3 linked regions of the Cricetulus griseus genome follow. Each later gene encodes a partner of the first gene's protein in a complex. Links are inferred from orthologs where the notes say so. Each region holds a gene or a part of one and is shown on either strand. Other genes may lie near its edges.

Region 1 (7,002 bases):
AGCTCTAGACACGCAGAAGAGCAGCTATGTGTATCTCACAATCCCATCAAATTGGCAGATCAAATTGTCACAGTGGACTAAGCATTTTGCAATCCTCACTTAAGTCTTCAAAGCAGCTATTATCCTCATTTTACAGGAAGGGAAACCACGGCTCTTTATTTGCCCAAGGTCAGCAGAATAAATAATAGAACCAGAATCCAGATCTGAAGCCTAGGGCTCATCCACCCAACCACTGGCTACTAGCTGACCTTTAAGACAAATACTGGGCTAAAGAGGAATGAGAAGTTGTCAATCTACTTCTATGTTCCCTGTAGTCAGTAAAGCACAGGTAGGCCATCTAATCTGTGCATACCCTGACCACAGGCTCCAAATTAGGGACTAATCCGATGGCACAAAGAGAGGCCTTTCCCCTTTTCCACCTTGTGAAGCAATGCAGGAAAATTTGCAAATTAAACAAAGTCATTCAAAAACTTAAAAATAGAATTAGTTGCATGATTATGCTATTGCACTTCTAGGCACAGATTCCAAAAGAACAAAAGCAGAGACTCGAGTGAGGTATTTGTACACTCATGTTCATGGCAGCACTGTCTAATAGGTAAACCTATGAGCAAATAGTGTCCAGACATAACTTGAAAATGAAGACCATGTATGAAATGGAACTGTTCAGCCTTAGGCAAGAAATCATGATGCATGAGTACTGTGATTAAGGTCCCTTGTCAGATTTATACAGATGAAGTAGGTGACTGCCAGGGAGCTGTGGAAAGTGATATTAGGGAACTGTGTTTTTTTTTCTTTGTGTGCCTGTGTACCTGTTGATGATGAGCACTGTCCTCTATCACTCTTTTTTTTTTTTTTTTTTTTTTTTGGTTTTTCGAGACAGGGTTTCTCTGTGTAGCTTTGGAGCCTATCCTGGTACTTCCTCTGGAGACCAGGCTGGCCTCGAACTCACAGAGATCCGCCTGCCTCTGCCTCCCGAGTGCTGGGATTAAAGGCGTGTGCCACCAACGCCTGGCTGCCTCTTATCATCTTAAGCTCATTTTTTGAGAACAGGTCTCTCTTGAACCTAAAGCTCAGCAAGTCCTGGATCTACTGTCTTAGTCCTACCCATCACCCCAGTGCTGGGGTTACAGTTGCAGCGTGTGGGTGCTGGAAATGCTGGTATATCAAGCATTTTACCCACTAAGCCATCTTGCAGCCTGATACTGGGGAACTGTTTAATAGTGGTGATGCCTATGAAACAGTATAGATAAACATGAGCCAAGAACCACCAACGGGGCGTTGGTGGCGCACGCCTTTAATCCCAACACTCGGGAGGCAGAGGCAGGCGGATCTCTGTGAGTTCGAGGCCAGCCTGGTCTCCAGAGCGAGTACCAGGATAGGCTCCAAACCTACACAGAGAAACCCTGTCTCAAAAAAACCAAAAAACCCAAAAAAACAAACAAACAAAAAAGCCCATGCACTAAGTGTTAAATTTTGTTATGCATATTTTACCATACTAACAACAAAAACTATAAAGACTTGGGGGAAAATTGTTCATGAGTCTCAGTGCAATTCTATTGACATGTTTTAAATCTTTTTTCTATTATTAGCATTGTCATAGTTATGCATTACAAGAATATGTTTTTTTGGACAATTACAAAACCCAAGTAGAGGTCTGGATTTAGGAAGTAGCCATTTTAAGTTACTCTATCAGAGGTGTAATCCTGGTGTCATTACTGTCCACGATATAGACTGGTACATAAGAAGCTCCCGGGACACCTAGATCTCACCGTCATGGGAACTCTGGGTTAATGGGGGCCTTGGTGTCCTGACTGATGAAGAATCATTGGGGCTATTCACATTCCCTAAATTTCTCTGGCAAAGGCTTCCTTACTTCTAGGGGCAGCTCACTCTGGTTTCGGAATTAAACACACCTCATATGCTGCCGTAATTTTAAAGAAAAAAAAAAAGGGAGGGGGAGAATCACAGAGCCTCTTGTCAGGAAGTTAATGTTTTCTCTAGTTAATGATCTTTCTCAATAACCTTTACAAGGAGCTTCAAGTCAGCAGACTGTAGGATAAACCTGACTGGTAGAAGGTTCTAACCTTCAGGATGCTCCTTGCAAAAATCTGGCTTCTCTTAAAATCTGAAACTTTGGACCAGTACTTCATTTATCCACAAGTAGTGGCAGAGGCGGGGTAACACTCGCTAACTTGCCGCAATCCCTTTCTTTCGGTTCTATTCTTTTCAAGCAAGTCTTTTAACGACACTGTGGTCCCATGTGGTCGTCTTGTCTACTGAGAACTTTGTTAGGGAGATGGCATGGGCCCGGCCCCTGCCAGGATCAGCCGGCCTTCTGGCGCGGACTCCGGGAGCGCCGGTCAGCCCCTCTTTGCACGGGAGTCACGGATCGCTAGGGCCTGCGTGCAAGTCCACAGACCTGTGCCCTAGTCGGGTCCTGAGCCCGACACCTACCTCGCGGGCTCAGAAGCAGGACCGACCTGCACGCCGCGGGGCAAGAATCTCGCGGTCCCTGTCGGGGCTGCTGAGCACAGACAACCGGGAGCCGCCCCTCACCCGGCAGCTAGCGGTCCCCGGGCTCGTACCTCAGGCGCGTGGGCCGCCCGTACACATCTGGCTGTGCACGCGCACAGGCATCTAGGCGCCGGCGGAAGGAACGCAGGATGGGCCCAACCACTGCGCACACAGGAAAGACCCGGAGAGAATGAGGACGGCAGGAGGATGGAGGGAAGAAGAGAGGGTCACACCATGACCCCGCGGTGAAGATAAATCTGTCACATTAGTTCTGCGGGACTCATCCAGGGCTCTGTCTGGGTCGCGCCGACTCCGCGGCGAACTTTTTGAGCCTGTTTACCCCTAGGCCAACGATAGACCGGAAGGACAGGGGCGGGATTTGCGCAGGCGCAGTGTGGCCGGCAGCATGGCATCCAAAGCTAAGAAGCGAGCGTTGGGAAACGGGGTTCAGCGGCCTCTGGGACAGCAGGACCAGCGCGAGGAGGAAGAAGAGGATGAGGTGGAGGGTGAGGAAGAAGACGATGAAGACAGTGACGAGGAAGAGGATGAAGACGAGATCGTGGACGAGGTGAGGCACATGTGACCATATTTTTGGGAGAAAACAAAATTCAGGCAACCGAAGCTGTGGTAAAGTGATAGTCGCTGTGGTTCAGGAGTTGAACCTTACGTGGTACATTCTTACCCAGGTTCTCACCTCAGGCTTTTCTACACATAACTCCTTGAAGCCCTGCCCGGGTGAATTACATCCCCCAGAAGCCGGCCAATCCCACACACACTTACTTCAGTGGCCCAAGTCTTTACTGGCCCAGCGTACCGACGAAGTTTCTTCTCTCCTCTCCCTGCTACACTGGCTTGCTCACTCTGGCCCTTTGCAGTTTCGTAAAGGCTACCTGCATTGTCCTACACTCTTCAAACGCTCTTCATCCTGCATAGTTTCCCCTTCGTTATGTCTGTCTGTCTGTCTGTCTGTCTAATCACAGCTAGACCGTATTTCCTGCCTCCCTGGGACAGCCAACGTGGTCAGATTTGGTTTTGTGGTCTCACAGAACTGATGTCCTTTCTTAGTACCTACTTTCCGGTGGTTGAAGCCCTTCTTTCTAGGTGAATGATTAGGATTCAAACAGTGTTCAAGACAATTGCTGTCTAGGGACTTCAGACTTGACGGTCCAAAGCAGGGTTTATAATAGTTCCCCAGTTTGCCGGTGTTATGCCTCCTATCTCACCCCTCACCCAGTCCATCAGTAAATTCTATTAGCTTTTTCCTTCAGTATCCAGGCACATATTGATCCTGCTACTATTCTAGTTCACACTTCCATCATCTCTTGTCTGGTTACTATAAAGGTTTTCCTTTTTTTTTTTTTTTTTTTTAGATGAAATTAAGACTGGGATAGCCACAGCGAAATTACCTGTAACTTTATTTTGTTGTTTTTGAAGTGCTGCGAATCAAACCCAGTATACTGTGCATGGTAGGCAAGCACTTTACCATTGAGTCATACTTCCAGCCATCTATAGTAGCTTTTCACTGTCATGCCTTTCCATTTTTGTCCTTCTACTGTCTGTACTCCATTTACTGCCAGAGAGATCTGGCTGGTCTATTCTACTCTCCCTCATTGAATGCTCTAATGGCTTCCTATTTCCTTTGTAGAAAAATCCTAAATCCTGTTTTTGAAAGACAGGGGGATGGGGTGGGGGTGGGGTAGAATATGGATTCAGCCAGGATGGCTGGCTCAGAACAGGCAAGAGAGAATGAGTGAAAATGGTCATTGACGTGAATGTGCAAGGGAGGAGGAGTTGAACTGTAGTGCGGCTTTGGGAATGAGGCTATGATGTGGATATGTAGCTTGTCTACCCTTCCAAGTCATTGCTTTGCTTTGTCTATCTTGCTTTGAACACCATCTCAACATTTTCACTTAGAAAAATGTTTACCAGCTGTTTTGCTACCTTAGGGTTTTAGAAGTCAGCACTTCTTTCATTAACATGGGAAAATCTTAACAGATTGCCAGTGACTAAAAATGTGTGTACTGTAATTATAAAATGTGGGGAGAGGGAACCACAGATGAGAGATTTCCTCAATCACGTTGGCCTGTGTGCTTGTCTGTGGGCATCTGCTTAATTAATTGATATGGGAGAGTTCAGTGCACTGTGAGTGATGCCACCCCTGGTCCTGGGTGGTATAAACAAGCCAGTAAACAGTGGTCTCTGTGGTTTGCTTCAGTCAGTTCTGGCCCTGAGTTCCTGTCCTGACTTCCCTCCACAAGGAAGAATTACCTGGAAGTGTAAGATAAAAGAAACCCTTTCCCTCCCAAGTTGCTTTTGGTCATGCTGTTTTTCACAGCAACAGAAAGAATGCCATCATTGATAATAGTGTAGCAATATAAGCACTTACATGCTCTGTTAGTGGAAGCATAAATCTGTGCAACTTCTTTGGAGGGTAATTTGACAGAATTTATCAAAATTTAAAGTACATATAACTCCTGACTCAGTAACTTGTAGGAATTTACCCTCTAGAAATTGACAGTGATAATAACAATAACTATATATACCCCCAGGCTCTGTGCATTTTGTATTAGCTCATTTAATTCTCATATCAGCACCATAAACTTAGGAATTGTCACTATTTTACAAGTTAGCCCACACAGCAAGTTAAGGCAAAATGTGTATATATAGTTATGTAGAGGAAAAAAGAAACAAAGGTGGGGTGGGGGGGATCCATCAGCTTCTGTGTTTGTTGTTTGACAGTACCGTGAAGAGAAGAGGAAATCCTTGGTGGGTATTTCTTCCTTCATTTAATTGAAGAAGGCTTTCATTTTCTGATACATTTATTCACCCACAATTAATTTCTCTGATGTAAAAGTCCATGAAAATTATCCTGGAAGATCAGAATCAATCTCAAACCTTTTAAAAAACAATGGTCTATCAAGAATAAAGGAATGTGTATAGCTCAGGTCCTGCAGAGGTAGCTTTTTCTCTTGGATTCTGTTGCTAGCTGCTTACCAAAGTGGTTAGAGGACTGGGGGACATATGCCTTCTTTTTTTTTTGGGGGGGGGCGGTTCGGGACAGGGTTTCTCTGTGGCTTTGAAGCCTATCCTGGAACTTGCTCTGTAGATCAGGCTGGCCTCGAACTCACAGAGATCCCCTGCCTCTGCCTCCCTGAGTGCTGGGATTAAAGGTGTGTGCCACCAACTCCCGGCTTTAAGTATGTACTTTCAATTTATTTGTATGTGTATGTGCCATAGCCAGATGTGTAAATGTCAGAGGGCAGCTGTAGGAGTCGGTTCTCTGATTTTACCTACTGTGTGGGTCTTTTTGTATTTATTTATTTGTTTGTTTATTTATTTATTTATTTATTTATTTATTTATTTATTTGAGACAGGGCTTCTCTGTGTAATAGTCTTGGCTATCCTGGAACTCATTTGTAGACCAGGCTGGTCTTGAATCTCATTGAGATACGTCTGCCTCTGCCCAAGTGTTGGAATTAAAGGTGTGCGCCACCACGGCCCAGCACTCCTGAGCTATCTTACCATCATCCCCATATTCTTTTACAGATTTATTTAAAATCCCTCTTCTCTGGGTTTATGTACTTGCTCGTGGTCGTGGGAAAATGCACATGCTCATATCCCATAGTACACATGTGGAAATTAGAAGACAATTTGCAGCAACCAGTTCTCTTCCCACCATCTCAGTCCAGGAATTGAACTCACGTAGTCAGTTTTGGCAGTAAGTGCTTTTACCTGCTGCACTCTCTCTGCCCGTCCCTCCCCCATTTGAATGGCACATACAGTTGAAACTTTAGACTTGTTTTCTGTCTGCTGTGTCTGCTCCACAAGAGCAGTCATTCCCATCTGCTTTGCTCACCATTTCATCCCCTATTTATTTATTTATTGGTGTGGTCTTGCTATGTCACTTGTTTGACCTTGAACTCACATCTTTACCTTCAACTCCCATCGCCCTTCCTCATTTTCTGGAGTGCTGGGATCGAAGGCCTGTGCCACCAGGCGAGGCTTCACCATTTCCTCTCAAGGCTTGGTACCTGCTGTTACTTAGTAAATATTTGCCAAGTGACAGAATGTAGCCTCACATCTCTGGGTCAATTAAGCTCTAGGCAGTTTCTGGGGACTTAGAAGTAATCTTGTCTTTTCAATTGCTTTTTGAAGCCAGGTGAATAATCTTTTTTTTTTTTTCCTTCTTTGTGGCTGCTTAACAGTTTTATCTGGATGAGGCTGTGTTCACATTTAAATCAAGTCACTGTGTTTTGTACCTTCAGGCTTTTGCATCACATGAGGAAATGGTATGAATGGCCTTTGTAATCTGTCTAGGTGGCAATCTTTGAAAGTATTTACCTTTTTTTTCTTTGAGAAAGAGTCTGCCTGTGAAGAACAGGATGACCTCAAAATTGAGGTTTTTATACCCCTTCCCCAAACCTGCAAGTTGGCATTGAAGGCCCATAGCACCATCCTGATTTTAGGTTTGCCTGTTTTGAGGCCTGA
Region 2 (7,060 bases), on another chromosome or scaffold:
GGCCTCGGGAGCAGCTGTGCAGACAAGGGTGTCCACTGCTGAGGAGAGGGTCCCACCTAGAGAACAGGCTTCAGTCACTGCCAGTGCAGTGCAAGCTCTGGCTGGGCCCTCTTGCCAGGATCCCCTGACAACTTTCTAATTATGTTGAAGCTCTTCTTCAGCCCCACAGGACACATTGCAGGTGTGAGCAAATAACTCAGCCTGCTTATGGCTTACTGTAGTTTGGACTTTGTTTTTCTCACTCCTTCTGTTGGAAGCTTAAAAGACAGAACAAAATAATGAGAGTGGAGCTAAACTATTGTTGTTGTTTTTCCAATGCAGTGTATTTAAGGCATGGAGAGTCATTTTATTATTATTTTAAGAAAAGGCAAAATTCTTATCAGCCTTTGATGAAAATATTTCCTGACAATCTATCAAAAATATTATGTCCCTCTCCGTGTGTGTGTGTGTGTGTGTGTGTGTGTGTGTGTGTGTGTGTGTGTGTAGGGAAATTAAATTCAGAGCCAGGCAAACTCTCTATCATTGAGCTATATCCACAGTACTCTCTTCTCCCACTGGCTCCCTCCCCACAATGCTTGCTTCAGTTTCCACTGGGAAGGAAGAACTAAACCAGGGACATCTCATTCAGTCAATGAAGACTAAATAACATTCACAGTCAAATGGTTGTGGGGGGTGCAAGGCCTGACCTCAAAATTTACTGGTTGTGAATTTGTGAGGCTCCCATTAATTCTTAGTCCTTTGTTTCCAAACCCCTATAACACTGAAGGCCTTCTTGACTGGAAGACTGTGAGGTGTGTGTGGAAAGAGCTCAGTAGTACCTCACACATGTAATCATGTCACTCAGGAGGATGCTTGAATTTGAGGCTTTTCTGAGCTGCTCAGCGATATTCTCTCTCTCTCTCTCTCTCTCTCTCTCTCTCTCTCTCTCTCTCTCTCTCTCTCTCTCTCTCTCTCTCTCTCCTCTCTCTCTCACACACACACACACTTTTCATATATATGAAATGTGTTGTTAGGCAGAGTTCATGGTTGGACACGTCCTGAAAGAAAGCGGTGGGCTTATAAGAACAACGTAGGGGTCCAGGGCTCCTTCAATTCCTCAACCCAATTTGGCCTAGGCCTTGTTTATGCTAAGGAAGCCTGGCCTCCAGTCGAGTTTCTCCATTTTGGGGACTCGGCTTCGCAGGGCACCAGCAGGGGGCGGCGTTGTCCCGCAGCTAGATCTGCGTGGGCGACACCCCCGCACCCCATCCCTCAACTCAGAGCGGTACAGGTTGGACTTCTAGGCTAGAGCTCCCCAAATCCAGAGGCTGGGTTTCTGCAGTTGTGCAGGGCCTTGGGGGAAATGTTTGTTCATCTCAGGGCCTGTCCTCTCTATCCGGCCTGCAGAGGCCCACAGCCTCTACCTGGAGCTAGGGCGGCTGAGCATTACTTTGGAAAGAGGCAGCGGGTGGAGGAAGTGGGCAAGCAAAAGCGGGGAGCTTTCTAACAAACACCATGGTGCCAGAGCGCGGAGATAACCTTTCCAATCCTTAAGAGCTACACCAGCGTCTAAAGCTGGAGGGGAGAAACTTCGCATCTTTTAAATTTGTCCTTTCTGTCTGGTAAGAAGCAAGACCCTACCTAGATCACTGACATTTTTATTCACTTTAGAACTGAGAACTTCAGAGGCTGCGAGGAACGCGCTTCGCCTCTTAGGTCTGCGCGGAAGGACCGCCACCCTGGCGGCCTCTTTCGTACACTGCTGGGGTTGCGCTCCGCGACCCCGCCATTGGCCACGCGCCCGCGGAGCTGCGCGATGGGTGACGCGCTCCCGTCCCGCTCGCCCTCAGTAGCTAGATGCGCACTAAGGCTGGCTGGCCCCCAACTTCCCCAGCACTTCTCGAGGTTTCCAGAATCGAAACTCAGTTCTCAGCAAACCCTCCCCCTCCCGCACAGAGACTGATGTGCGTGACAAGTTGCCTCTGGAGACCACACTTGGCCCAGAGTCCATAGTGGAATCGGACGTCTAGCCACAAACGGACACTGTTGGAGGAACCTCCAGGAGACCCAGAGTTACGCGGCAGTGACGCGCTGCACCAGACCAGAAGACAAGGCTTGGGAAGTTTCTGGAGTTGTGCGATTTTTAACCCTGATCCAGTTTTGATGGCTGGTTATCACATTTGGGGCGTTCAAAAGTGTCTCCTCTTTGGGGGTGTGTGCGAGGACGTGCAGAAATAGATAAATCTACACGTATGCGCCACAGGCATCTGCTATTGCACACAGCCAGGGGCTGCGCACCCTGGCCGGCAGCCAGCAGCTCCGAGCTCGGCGACTGTCCACCCAGCGACTGCCCGCGGGGGTGGCGCTGGGGGCGGTGCCCTATGCAAATGAGAGGGTGTGGCGATCGCCGCTCTCTGGGGCCCCGGAAGCGCGGAGAAGCCCGGTATAAAAAAAGTACTGAAGACATTTCCCCCGCACAATTGCTAAAGCTCCAGAGACGCGAGTGTGCGCGGCGGCATTGGCGGCATCGAGAGCCGCCACCTCCGAGACCACCGCAGCGGGGCGCGCGGGCGGGGCGCGGGCGAGGGGCGGAACGCTCAGGGCGCGGCGGGGGTCTGCGCGGAGAAGTCGCGGGCCGCTGCCGGGAGCGCACTCGCAGCTCTTGCGAAGTGTGTCCGCCTCGCGGTTCCTCGCTCGCCTGCGCTCCTAGAAGGGGCGGCCGTCTCCAGGTGACACAGACGGGACTCTCGCTTGCGCTTTCCAGATGCATCAGAGATACTTTTGGTGCGGGGCTGCTCTGCGGGGCACGGCGCGCGGCTGGGCACTGGGGTGGGTCGGGGAAGGAGGGCTACTCTGGGTAGCTCCAGGCGGGTCAAAATCGGGGAGGTGAAGCCCAGGCCCCTCGGAGGGTCCCTGTCCCCGCACCCGCGCACCTCCCTGCCGTTCTCCTCAACCCACTCTTATCTTTTAGGACTGACCAAGGCCAAGTGGCATTCGGCGGGCACTACATGGCCGAGGGCGAAGGGTACTTTGCCATGGCGGAGGACGAGCTGACCTGCGGCCCCTACATCCCCCTGGGTGGTGACTTCGGCGGCGGCGGCAGCAGCTTCGGCGACCGCTGCTTGGACTATTGCGAAAGCCCCACGGCTCACTGCAATGTGCTGAACTGGGAGCAAGTGCAGCGGCTGGACGGCATCCTGAGCGAGACCATCCCGATCCACGGGCGCGGCAACTTCCCCACGCTCGAGCTGCAGCCGAGCCTGATTGTGAAGGTGGTGCGGAGGCGCCTGGAGGAGAAGAGCATAGGTGTCCGCGACGTGCGTCTCAATGGCTCGGCCGCCAGTCATGTCCTGCACCAGGACAGTGGCCTGGGCTACAAGGACCTGGACCTCATCTTCTGCGCGGATCTGCGTGGGGAAGAGGAGTTTCAGACTGTGAAGGATGTCGTGCTGGATTGCCTGTTGGACTTCTTGCCCGAAGGGGTGAACAAGGAGAAGATCACACCGCTCACTCTCAAGGTAAAGCCACTTGGAGATGATGGGCTTGGGTACAGAGGCGGGCTTGGGGTGCTGACAGAAGGCAAGCCTGACTTGCCTTAATTGCCGCTAATTCGGCCCCGGTGCGGACGCTTATTTATTTTTGATTTTTTTTTCCACGAGTGAAGTAAGGTGAGAGAATGGTGTGGAGTGTTTCAGTTTTCCAGGAGCTTCAGTGTCACAACTCTCTGCTTCCTCCTTTGCATTCCCTTCTCTTCCTTATCTGTATGGTTTAACTCTTGACTTTCCTTTCTGGACTCCTGTCCAGAGTACATTCTGATTGGTGGAAGATTGGAATGATGTAAACATTCTTTTTTTTTTTTTTTTTTTTTTTGAGTCATCTTGTGATCTAGGCTTTGGGAAAATAGCAGCTCGAAGCAGAATTGAGTTAATGGGTTTTTATTGTGTTGGAAAATGTGAATAGGTTCCTACTCAAGGTTCAAATGACTTCAGCATTTAAAATATTGGTGATTCTCCCGGCTAATTTACATGTTGAGGATGTAATATTATGCCCCTCCCCTTCGGTTTAGGTGGCATTTTGTATAATTAATTAAAGTTGTCTGAAGGCAATTTAGTTCCTCTTTAGCTGTAACTGTAGAGTGTCACCGGAGGGACATACTAGAGACTGATAAGATTGATTGCCTATGGGGGAGGAGAACCGGTGGCTGGCTGGGGACTAGGGTCAGAGCCACACTCCCAACACTGTCTGCTTTTCTGTGGATACTGAGTGAATATTGAGCCTATTAGACCATCTTCAAAAAATAACATTTGAAGTCAGACATGACAACAGAACCTCTTAGTACTCTGCTGCGTCTGCCAAAAGCCTCAAACTATTACTTCTAGTCTCTTTCCCAGACGGCAAAACTACTCGTTAAATTTTTTTTTCCTGTTTTCCTAAGACTGTTTAAGCTCATAGGTAGTGTTTTGCTGAAACTTGACATAACAAACAGGAAGCAGCGAAATAATTCTCAGCCGAGAAGCTGAGATATATTTATTGTTCTTCAACACCCCTCCTCCCCGCCTGTTTTGCTCATCTTGTTTCATCTTTTAAACTGTAGGAAGCTTACGTACAGAAAATGGTTAAAGTGTGCAACGACTCGGACCGGTGGAGCCTCATATCCCTGTCAAACAACAGCGGCAAAAACGTGGAGCTGAAGTTTGTGGATTCTCTCCGGAGGCAGTTCGAGTTCAGTGTAGATTCTTTCCAAATCAAATTAGACTCTCTCCTCCTCTTCTACGAGTGTTCTGAGAACCCAATGACAGAAACATTTCATCCCACAATAATTGGCGAGAGTGTCTACGGGGATTTCCACGAAGCCTTTGATCACCTTTGCAACAAGATCATTGCTACCAGGAACCCAGAGGAAATAAGAGGGGGAGGCCTTCTTAAGTACTGCAACCTCTTAGTGAGGGGCTTCAGGCCCGCCTCGGATGAGATCAAGACCCTCCAGAGGTACATGTGTTCCAGGTTTTTTATCGACTTCTCAGACATTGGAGAGCAGCAGAGAAAGCTGGAATCCTACTTGCAGAACCACTTCGTGGGCTTGGAAGACCGCAAGTATGACTATCTCATGACCCTTCATGGAGTGGTAAATGAGAGTACAGTGTGCCTGATGGGACATGAAAGGAGGCAGACTTTAAACCTTATCACCATGCTGGCAATCCGGGTGCTAGCCGACCAAAATGTCATCCCTAACGTGGCTAATGTCACTTGCTATTACCAGCCCGCCCCCTATGTTGCAGATGCTAACTTTAGCAATTACTACATTGCACAAGTTCAGCCAGTGTTCACATGCCAGCAGCAGACATACTCCACTTGGTTACCCTGCAATTAAAAATCACTTAAAAATGTCCTGTGGGGAAGCCATTTCAGACAAGATAGAAACAAACAAAAAGAAAGAAAGAAAGAAAGAAAGAAAGAAAGAAAGAAAGAAAGAAAGAAAAATACAAAACAACAACAACAACAAAAGGGAGTGACCCATCCCTAGTTAGGGATGCGTTTTGTGCACTGGGGGCATGCTCCTGATTGCTTGGAAAGGCTTATGGATCTTTCCATTGATACAGGAAGGAGCATGATCTCAAGTTGTCACCCTCCTTAGCCACCCACCCCTGTGGTCTCTACCCAATTGGATTGTACCTTCAAACAAGAGGCCCATTAGTAAAAGCAGCCAAGTTCTCCCAAGATAACAAGGGGATTTAAAAAATAAATGGCTTGATTGTTGACAATATGGGTTTGCAGCAACTACTCCCATAGCTCTGCCACAGGGGAGAGGGGATGGTGGGAAAACTTTTAAAATGGCATTCCCAGAAGGGAAAATACATCGGAGAAAATCCTTGTCTATCAGTTGAGGATGTCAGAAAGTAACAACATGGGAAATGAGGGGCTCCTTTCTGGGGACTACAATCTATCTTGCAACAAAGTGCTTTCTCTGGAAGGACCCCTTTCTCCTCACAGAAACTGCTGAATCCAAATGAACAGTAGTAGTTTGATGCTGTTCTCGTAAAGAACAGTGGAACTCAATGATGATGATAACAACCCATTAATTCCAGCTTTGTGTATAGCTCGCGTTCTTAAAATGTGAAGACGCAAGCAAAACCAGCTGTAGCCAAGAAAATATGCTCAAGGACCAAAGATTTAACAGAAATCCCCAAGTAGAAGTGATAGACTAGGGTACAGAAAGAGTTACTATATTTGTTACACACCAATACACATCAAAGTGCCTGTTGCTTTCAGAGGATTTGAAGTGGAAAAGGTTATTTTATGGTTTAATGATTATTTTATTTTATCAGGGACTCAAGAAAAATAAAACAACATATAAGCTTGTGAATGGTGAAGGAAATGCCCTATTTTTTCTTGGCAAAAACCTATATAAAGTTGATATTGTTTGGTGTGATGTTATCATAGGTACGTGTGCGTATATTGTTTGTGTGTATATACACACCCATATATGTGACATATATATGATATGTGTGTGTATATACACACACTCCTTTGTCTATTACCTAAAACAATGTATCAAATAGGAAATTTTGAAATACTGTGCATTTTATGTTTATGGTAGGATCATAGAAGACATGGGCATATTGCAATGACAAATTAAAACCCATATAAAATAAGAGAAATGGAGAGAAATGAGTAATATATTTGATAGGAAGAGCAGATATTATACATTTTTAGTGAGTTTTTTCCTTCTTTTCAGTGAACCAGAGAATTTCACAAATGGGAGAATATTTGGTAGAACACTTTTTAATTGACTTGACCTGACATTTTGACAGTCTGAGCCCCTTCCCCTTAAGTAAACAGAATCACATGCCTTCAAGGCATAGAACTTGTAGATCATGGACCAGATATAGGATAATTAATCCATAATTGCTAAAAAGAATTTCTGGGACCTGAACACTACTTAATATTTAGATGAACATACAAATGAGTACATTCTGCATTTTGGACCACTAGAATTTAATAAATGTGAAATGTCCCTTTTTAAAGAGTATTTGCACAACTACATAAAGTTTATATATAGGATATATATTATATATACATT
Region 3 (7,213 bases), on another chromosome or scaffold:
AGAGAAAGGCTGAGTGAGCTAGCTGGGGCTGGGAGGACAGGAGGGAGGGTGGAGAGCTGGGGGGTGGGGCTAGAGGCTGGCCAGGCTTAGGAGTTTCAGCTGCTAATCTATTTGCACTCACTGCTCCTCAGCTCCAAACCTACACTGCTGAGGCTTCCCTGAAAAGATGACCAGGAGCCTCTGATGCAAGAAGCTCCATCCTCCAGGACTTGACCCAGCAGAACACTCAATCCAATCGAGCTTCCTACTCTGTCTGGGAGGAGCAACAGGCAGCCTTCAGTAGAAGGTGCATTCTCTTTAGAGGAATATGTCTGCATGCAAGGCCATGCATGCACTCTCTCTAGGCAGGGATCAGGACTCTATAGAGTGACCAGAAATCCTACTTTTCTGGGGTCCATGTGTGAGGAGGGGGGCGAGACAACTGAGAGAAAAACAAGTTCTTCAAGAGCATCATAAAGGCAGCCTAGCCGCTCTCACCTCCAAAGCTCTTCCACAGGCTTTTCACATACCACTCCCTAAGCCTCCCAAGCACCTGGCACCAAATACCACCTAGGAAGTACTTTCTGACCCAACCGCCCGCCCGCCTGCCTGCCTGCCTGCCTGCCCTTATCCAAGAAATAAGCACCTCCTTGCAGCTGAATGACCCACAGTGGAAAATGCTCTGAAACCATAAAGCTTCCTTGCACACAGATCTGCTTCATGTCAGTAATTATTTCTTCATATTAAGTTTTTTTTTCTGTTGTTCCAAAAAGTTCTGCAAACACTTCAAGAGCAAGCTACAAGGGCCAGCTGTACAGAATACTAATTTGAAACAGTTCACAAGGTCCCCTTATGCAGTTGGGTTATGTAAAGATGCTACTTTCTATGACCATTTCAATTCTAAATAAAAGCTTCCTTACAAGGAATGCATCCCATCAAAAGGTTAAAAAGTGGGAGAAACCTATGGTCCAAGAGATTAAGAGGTCGGCTTTACTGTTGTCTCAAGTAGCTTTAAACTCATGGGCACTTCTTTAAATATGGAGGAGTTGGCGTCATCATAATACAACCTCATTAGCTACAGTCAAAACACCAAGATGGTGGAGGGCAGCTTTCCACATTTCCCCGTTTCTTCAATAATGAGAGAGAGCAACAGACCAGTCTTAGTCCAGGAAACGCCTCAGACTAAACACATACACACACACAGCACACACAAACACACACAGCACACACAAACACACACCACACACACACACACACACACACAGAGAGAGAGAGAGAGAGAGAGAGAGAGAGAGAGAGAGAGAGAGAGTTGTGTGTTTCAGGGACAGGAAGGAGATAAACTCCCAAACGCCACCATACCTCAGGCTTATATAGCTTTTCTCAGTAATATAGGCAACAACGATCTAACCCGGTTGCCCTTCTTCATTGGCTGACTCTAGGATGGCATAGCAAAGAAGAAAGATGAAGAAAAAGGTACTACTTAGTGGATGGAGCTGGAAGGAAGGAAGGAAGAAAGGAAGGAAACATTCAATGCAGTTTTCTGATTCTGTAACAGCTGAGCCTCACTAACCACACAACAGCCCACTTTTAAATCACCTTCATGGCTGAGCTGTGGCTGAACTGTCTGGTGGGCAGTGCACGGCACATATAATCTGCCTGGTCTTGAACACTGGAGGATGCAGACTAAGTGTGTGCTTGACTGGGAGACGGATAGGGAATGCAGGAGGCTGCAAGTCAGGCTGAAAGCTTGGTAATGATACTGGCAGTGGAGCTGAAGAGTGAGCCCTTAGCACTCCACACACTCTCTGACCAACAGGCCAAGAGCCAAACCCTTCCCTCTAGAGTTCACAAACTGATCTCCAGATACAAGGCAGGTATTATGGGAGAAACTCACCCTAAAGAGTGTGACTATTTGCTCTAGGTGCACACACTAAAGTTACTTACAAAAGTAGGGACCTCTCTTTTGGTAACAGTCTAGAGATAGCTGAGCACCCCACCTCCATAATTTTAATGACAGTAAGGGACATTCTGTGTAGATACTGGAACAATTATTACAAACATCAAAATCTTCTACACATCAGAATCTTCAAAAAGCTCCTAATTCACATCTGGGTACTCCAAAACCAAGGTGTCCCTTCAGCTACCTGCTCAGAGTTACGAAGAACTTGATCTTCACAAACAAGAATGGCAAAAGACAGAACCACAGTTGGTCCAGCTGGCCGCAGGGAGAAGAAATTCAACCTTCTTTAGTCCCCACCCCACACCCTTCAACTGCAGGGTAAAATGTGGGGCGTGGGGGGGGGGCGGGGAATCACACCTCTGGAGACTTCCAGCACGGTAGAATTCTTGGTAAGCTTTCCTTCCACCCTCTCGGCTGCCTGGCAAGCTTTCTGGCTCACTCACTGCCTTGCCAAGCAAACTACACTGGAAGTTGTAGCCAGCAATGGCCACCCTCACCCTCCTTCCAGGGGGCAGCTGGAAGGAGGAGCTAACCATCTTGACTTTTACTTCCAGAACCAAACTCGTCACAATTCAAACGGTTACATATATAGCTGTTCTTTGCAAATCTGTTAAGTCTATTAAGTCTTTCGTTGTCAGCACTTTATCCTCAAATCGAGGGGCAAAAAGGATTTCAGACCAGGAATTAGTCACGGCCCTGCAGAAGGGTTTCTACACATTTAAAGGGGGAGAGGGGAGAAAAGGGGCTGAGACTACCCAGATCTGACAATCGGCTCAGGTGGAAATTCTATATTCTGGAAAAACCAAATAGGCATTTCCTCACCAGCGCCCCCCCCCCTTGACTTTGAGGTCGCCCGCCCGCCCGCTCACTGAGTATCAGAACTTAGGTGTAAGGGCTACCAGCTGGCACTGCAGGTTCCTCAACTTCCTCAGATGTCCCACCCACCCTCTTCGCGAACGGCGGTAAAGGGTACCCACACCGCAACGGGCAGCCGCGCCTCTAAGTCACCAACAGCACCGCTATCAGAGTCAACTAACTCTGCACGACTTTCAGCACACGCGGTAGGCAACTTTCGATCCCCAAGGGGAGGAACCAGGTTTCTCAGTCGCCGTATTCTCGAGAAGTTTCCGAGAGACGCGCAGCTTCTTGGCCGCGCGCAATGTCCACAGTCCCAGAAGAGAGAATGATCTCTGCCGCCATCCTGGGCACTGAGCCCAGGAAGCTGCCCTCCCCTCGCCTGCCAGGCTCTAACCCCGGACCGCAGCGTCTCCATCTAAGCCGCCGAAACCGCGGGGTTCAAAACCGCCCCGGTTCTGGCTGCAGTGTGCGCACCACAGGGGCGCAGCGCAGAGCCGACGGACCTACTGGCAGGGTCAATGAAAGAGCAAGAAGTGATCGCCACCCACTCTCCTGTTGCCGGGCCAGCAGGAGCTCGCCCAAGTTTGCCAGACCCCGGTCATAGTCTCTGAAAAGTTTGCGCTCTCTCACGGAGGTAGCCTGAGCCAGGGGCGCAGGAGCCGTGCGGGTCCTGACACCTGCCGGTGTCTCCCCTCCATCTCCGGGGAATCCCACCAGGCTCTGCTGGGACGAACCCGGGAGCGTGAGAGCGTGGCTCCCCGCTGGACCGCAGCAGCATCCTCACACCTGCGGAGGAAGAGGAGCGCAGACTCACCTGGACGCTGGAAGAGGAGGCGACAGAGGCAGGTGGTTGGCGTGGGCAGCCCCGAGCAGGAGCGGCGCGGTGACTATGGCCCCCAGGCAGCTGCCGCGAGTGAGCGGTCCCGCCGCCGCCCCCTCCGATCTTAACCGGCCTGACCACTCCCCCGCGCCTCCCCGCCCCTGCCCCCGCCCGCGGCCGGCCTCCCGGGGGAGCCAGGGCGGGGCGCGCCGGCCGCGGCCCCGCGGGATCCTTGCGCCCGGCGCTAACGGCGGGGGCCCGGGCGAATGCCGCCCTCTGATTGGCTCTGCGGGTCAATGGTTGCCGAGAGACAAGTAAACCTCCGGAGGCGCGAAGGGGCGGGGTAGCCCGGAGGCAGCGTTGCGCAGGCGCAATAGAGAGGGGGCTGTGTCGCCACCAATTTAGGAGTTGAGGGGACACTTTCGCTCTGTCCGCTCGCCTCCTTCTCTGCGGCTCCTGGTCTTTGCCTTCCCTTGCCCCGAGAGTTCTCACCTCCACCATTCTTGCTCCCTGTGGGTTGCGTTTTCTTTCTGAATTTTGGGCGCTCTTGGCACCAGTGGCTCCCTGATTCCGGGAGCCGGGAGTGGAAGCCCACGCCTGTCTCGCGGGGTGTTTGTGAAATCAGAAAACTTTTAGGTGGGTCCTGGAAATCTTATTCCTCGAGCAAATTGGCTGGAGGTGAGATCGTGGTCCTGGAGGAAAGGAAGCAGCTGATTTTCTGGCCGCGGGACCACCTGTGTGCAGTTAGTTAGTGGCCCCGGAACCCATCACAAAAGCCTAAAGCACAGCATCTAGGCCCTCAGAACGAACGGCAAAGGGCTTTGTGACCTGTTAATACCCGCCGGGCGGGGGACCCCGGACACTGCCCTTAACACCCCTACACGTGGTTGGTTGATGGCTCGCTCTGCTTCAGAATTCAGGCTAATGAGTGGGAATCTCCTTCACCACTATATATCTGGAGGGCCTTGAGAGGAGCTGTTTTTGTTTTATTTGGGGTTTGGGTTTTTGAGACAATGTCTCCTGAACCCAGACAGGCCTCTAAGTAGCCTTGGCTGACCTTTAACTGATCCTCCAGTGTGCACCTCCCACGACTGGGATTACAGGAGTGGCCTACCAGGCCCAGCCTTCCTGACTGGCTTAACCTATCCTCCATGAACCTCTACTTCCCATCTGCAGGATAGGAGTAAGGATGGGATAACTGAGACCAATATTAGGAAAATAGGCCTGGTGGTGGTGGTGGTGGTGGTGGTGGTGCACACCTTTATCCCCCCGCACTCAGGAGGCAGAGACAAGCAGATCTCTGCGAGTTCGAGGCCAGCCTGGTCTACAGAGTGAGTTCCAGGACAGCCAGGGCTGTTATACAGAGAAACTCTATCTCGAAAACAAAACGACAACAACAACAAAATTAGGAAAATAGTTATTAATCATGCACTGCTTGAAATAAAGTGCATGCCAGGTGCTGTGTAAGTCAGAAAGCAGTCATTAATAAACACTTGTTGAGCTTCCTTTGACTCTCTCCTGGGTACCTGGGGTGCAAGATGACTTCCTGAATCAGTGTTCTCTGCTCTCCTACCACCCCTGCCTAGCATGAGTGCCCTGCAGTGTCTGCTAGGCTGCGAAGAGTTCTCAAGTACAGGCTTTCTCTGGTGGGGGGAGGGGAAATTGTAACAGTATAAGACATCAGTATGAGAACTTACAGAGATTGGGTGTCCCTGTTCTTGAACACAAATTCAGGGGTAGGTGGTCAGTTTTGTTGTTGATGGTGTGAGCACTGAATGGTCTCACAGTGTCTATTATTGTGTGCTGAATGATGGGTGTGAGTACCCACAGGGCTGTCACCCACAATAGTCCAGCTTAGCCATGGCTCCTGCCACTCACTATCTCATAGGGTTCAGTTGCACTGGTATTTGAACTTGACATGAACTTGAAATAGAGAGTGAGAATTTTTCTGTCTGTAAGATTTCTCTGTTGTATGTAACAGTGACTCATTCTTCACTACTGCATATTCGTTCAATAACCAACAGTTTATGTTCTCAATTTACTGTTTGGTAGCCATTTCAGTTGCTTCAGGTTTTTGGACAGTCCATAGTGAATTTGCTGAAAATAGTCTTCTATGTGTAGAAGCATCATTCATGTCACACACATGCTAGGGATTGGAACTTCTGGTTTACAGAGTATACACATGTTAAGCTTTAAATATATTGCCAGTGATCTGAGTATGAAAAATAACCAAGGAAAAAATAAAAACTTAAACCATAAAACAAAAAAATAGATACATTTTTTAAAACAAAAGGGATAAACTGTTTATGTTCAACCAGTACTGTAAGATTCCTGGTGATGATAACACATATTTACCACTTTTGGTATCAAGGTGTTTAAAATGTTTTAACTATATTTTCTTGTTGGAGGGTGGTGTGCATACCACAGTGGGTATGTGGAGGTCATAGGACAGCACTTGGGAGTGGGTTCTCTCCTCCCAAGGTGTAGGATCTGGGGGTTGGATTCAGGTCCTCATCGGGCTTGGCCACAAGCAGCTTTGCTCGCTGAGCCATCTCCCGGGCCCAAGTGTTTCCTCTTTAAATTAAAAACAGGGATGTGCATTTCATTGTAATTAAACATTGTTTCTCTGGTGATCAATTCGATTGAGCAACTTTTCAGATGTTTACCATCCATTATGATGGTCTTTAAGGGATGTATCTATTCATGTCGTTTGCCAGTTTGAACTCTACAAGTTCTTTACATATTCTTGATATAAGTCCTTTGTTTCAAATACTTTCTCTCAACCTGTGGCTGACTTACAGTTTAATGTTACTTTCTGATTAAAATAATTTCTTAATTTTTAATCAGCCCAATTTATCAATCTTTGCTTATTTTTAAGGCCTAGTGTTTTGTGTCCTGTGTAAGGACTCTCCACCTATCCCAAAGCCACAAAGATAATTGCTTTTGTCTTCTTCTGAGAATTAAGTTTCAAGCCTTGAGCAAATAACTGACCTTCTACAAAGTTCCAATCTCAATAACACTTAAGCAAATTATTACCTTGGCTTTTGACACAGATACTGGCATCAAAGGTAGGTTTTGATACACTATTATGTTTTAGTTAGCATATAAATTAGTGGTTTTCACCATGACATTTCATACACGCATGTTTGTCATACATTTTGTTCGATACCCTCTCAGGGCTCCACCAGGCCCCCCTCCAGCTGGCCCCTTTTCTTCCCTTTTAGTCCCTTCTGCTTTTTTTTTTTTTTTTTACTACAAGTAGACTTCGGAACCTAAAGTTTGATCTGGCTTTCCGCTTAGGTGACATTTTGTTAACTTCCTGATCAACTTAGGTAATCCTATGATGGGGAGATGGGAGAACCAGGATCTGGAAAAGAAACTTCACACGTGTGCATTTCCCCCTCAATTTTTAAAATTCCTGGAGACTTTCTAAACTTTTAAAAGATTTTTGTTTCAGTTTTATTTTTTTAATACACGGTGTTCTTTCTACCTCATAAAACTGTGGCACCCTGAAGCTGGCAGGAGGCTCAGGAAGTAACCTGGTCCTGCCCAGTGGACATACAACCAGATATTTAAACTGTCCCTCCAATACTCTT

What was found.
Region 2: the proteins of Bccip (region 1) and Tent5a are in contact, whole or in part, in a crystal structure (PDB 8EXE), measured with the Homo sapiens proteins. The link is inferred for Cricetulus griseus from reciprocal best matches to the Homo sapiens genes BCCIP and TENT5A. Residues at the interface, in NP_510868.1 of Homo sapiens: Val57, Asn58, Ile59, Glu60, Phe61, Glu62, Ala63, Tyr64, Ser65, Leu66, Gln146, Val149, Leu150, Phe152, Cys153, Glu154, Lys155, Asn156, Cys157, Glu158, Lys159, Glu163, Lys167, Leu203, Ala204, Ala206, Thr225; in NP_060103.2 of Homo sapiens: Arg87, Gly88, Asp139, Glu151, Gln155, Lys158, Lys184, Glu185, Val188, Gln189, Lys190, Met191, Val192, Lys193, Val194, Cys195, Asn196, Asp199, Trp201, Asn213, Arg289, Lys295, Glu331, Arg334, Gln341, Asn342, His343.
Region 3: the proteins of Bccip (region 1) and Tent5c are in contact, whole or in part, in a cryo-EM structure (PDB 8EQB), measured with the Homo sapiens proteins. The link is inferred for Cricetulus griseus from reciprocal best matches to the Homo sapiens genes BCCIP and TENT5C. Residues at the interface, in NP_510868.1 of Homo sapiens: Val57, Asn58, Ile59, Glu60, Phe61, Glu62, Ala63, Tyr64, Ser65, Arg136, Gln146, Cys153, Lys155, Ala204, Gly205; in NP_060179.2 of Homo sapiens: Asp90, Asp92, Glu102, Gln106, Arg109, Lys135, Glu136, Val139, Gln140, Lys141, Leu142, Val143, Lys144, Val145, Cys146, Thr147, Asn164.

What each region holds. Positions count from the first base shown.
Region 1 is NC_048596.1:67,158,920-67,165,921, reverse strand, and holds the start of Bccip (BRCA2 and CDKN1A-interacting protein), read left to right. Parts: upstream 1-2,889; 5' UTR 2,890-2,920; coding exon 2,921-3,082; intron 3,083-7,002. UniProt on the Homo sapiens protein: During interphase, required for microtubule organizing and anchoring activities. During mitosis, required for the organization and stabilization of the spindle pole.
Region 2 is NC_048597.1:195,535,726-195,542,785, reverse strand, and holds the start of Tent5a (terminal nucleotidyltransferase 5A), read left to right. Parts: upstream 1-2,493; 5' UTR 2,494-2,743; coding exon 2,744-2,763; intron 2,764-2,950; coding exon 2,951-3,497; intron 3,498-4,573; coding exon 4,574-5,350; 3' UTR 5,351-7,060.
Region 3 is NW_023276806.1:56,479,754-56,486,966, reverse strand, and holds the start of Tent5c (terminal nucleotidyltransferase 5C), read right to left. Parts: upstream 3,867-7,213; 5' UTR 3,612-3,866; intron 1-3,611. UniProt on the Homo sapiens protein: Catalyzes the transfer of one adenosine molecule from an ATP to an mRNA poly(A) tail bearing a 3'-OH terminal group and enhances mRNA stability and gene expression.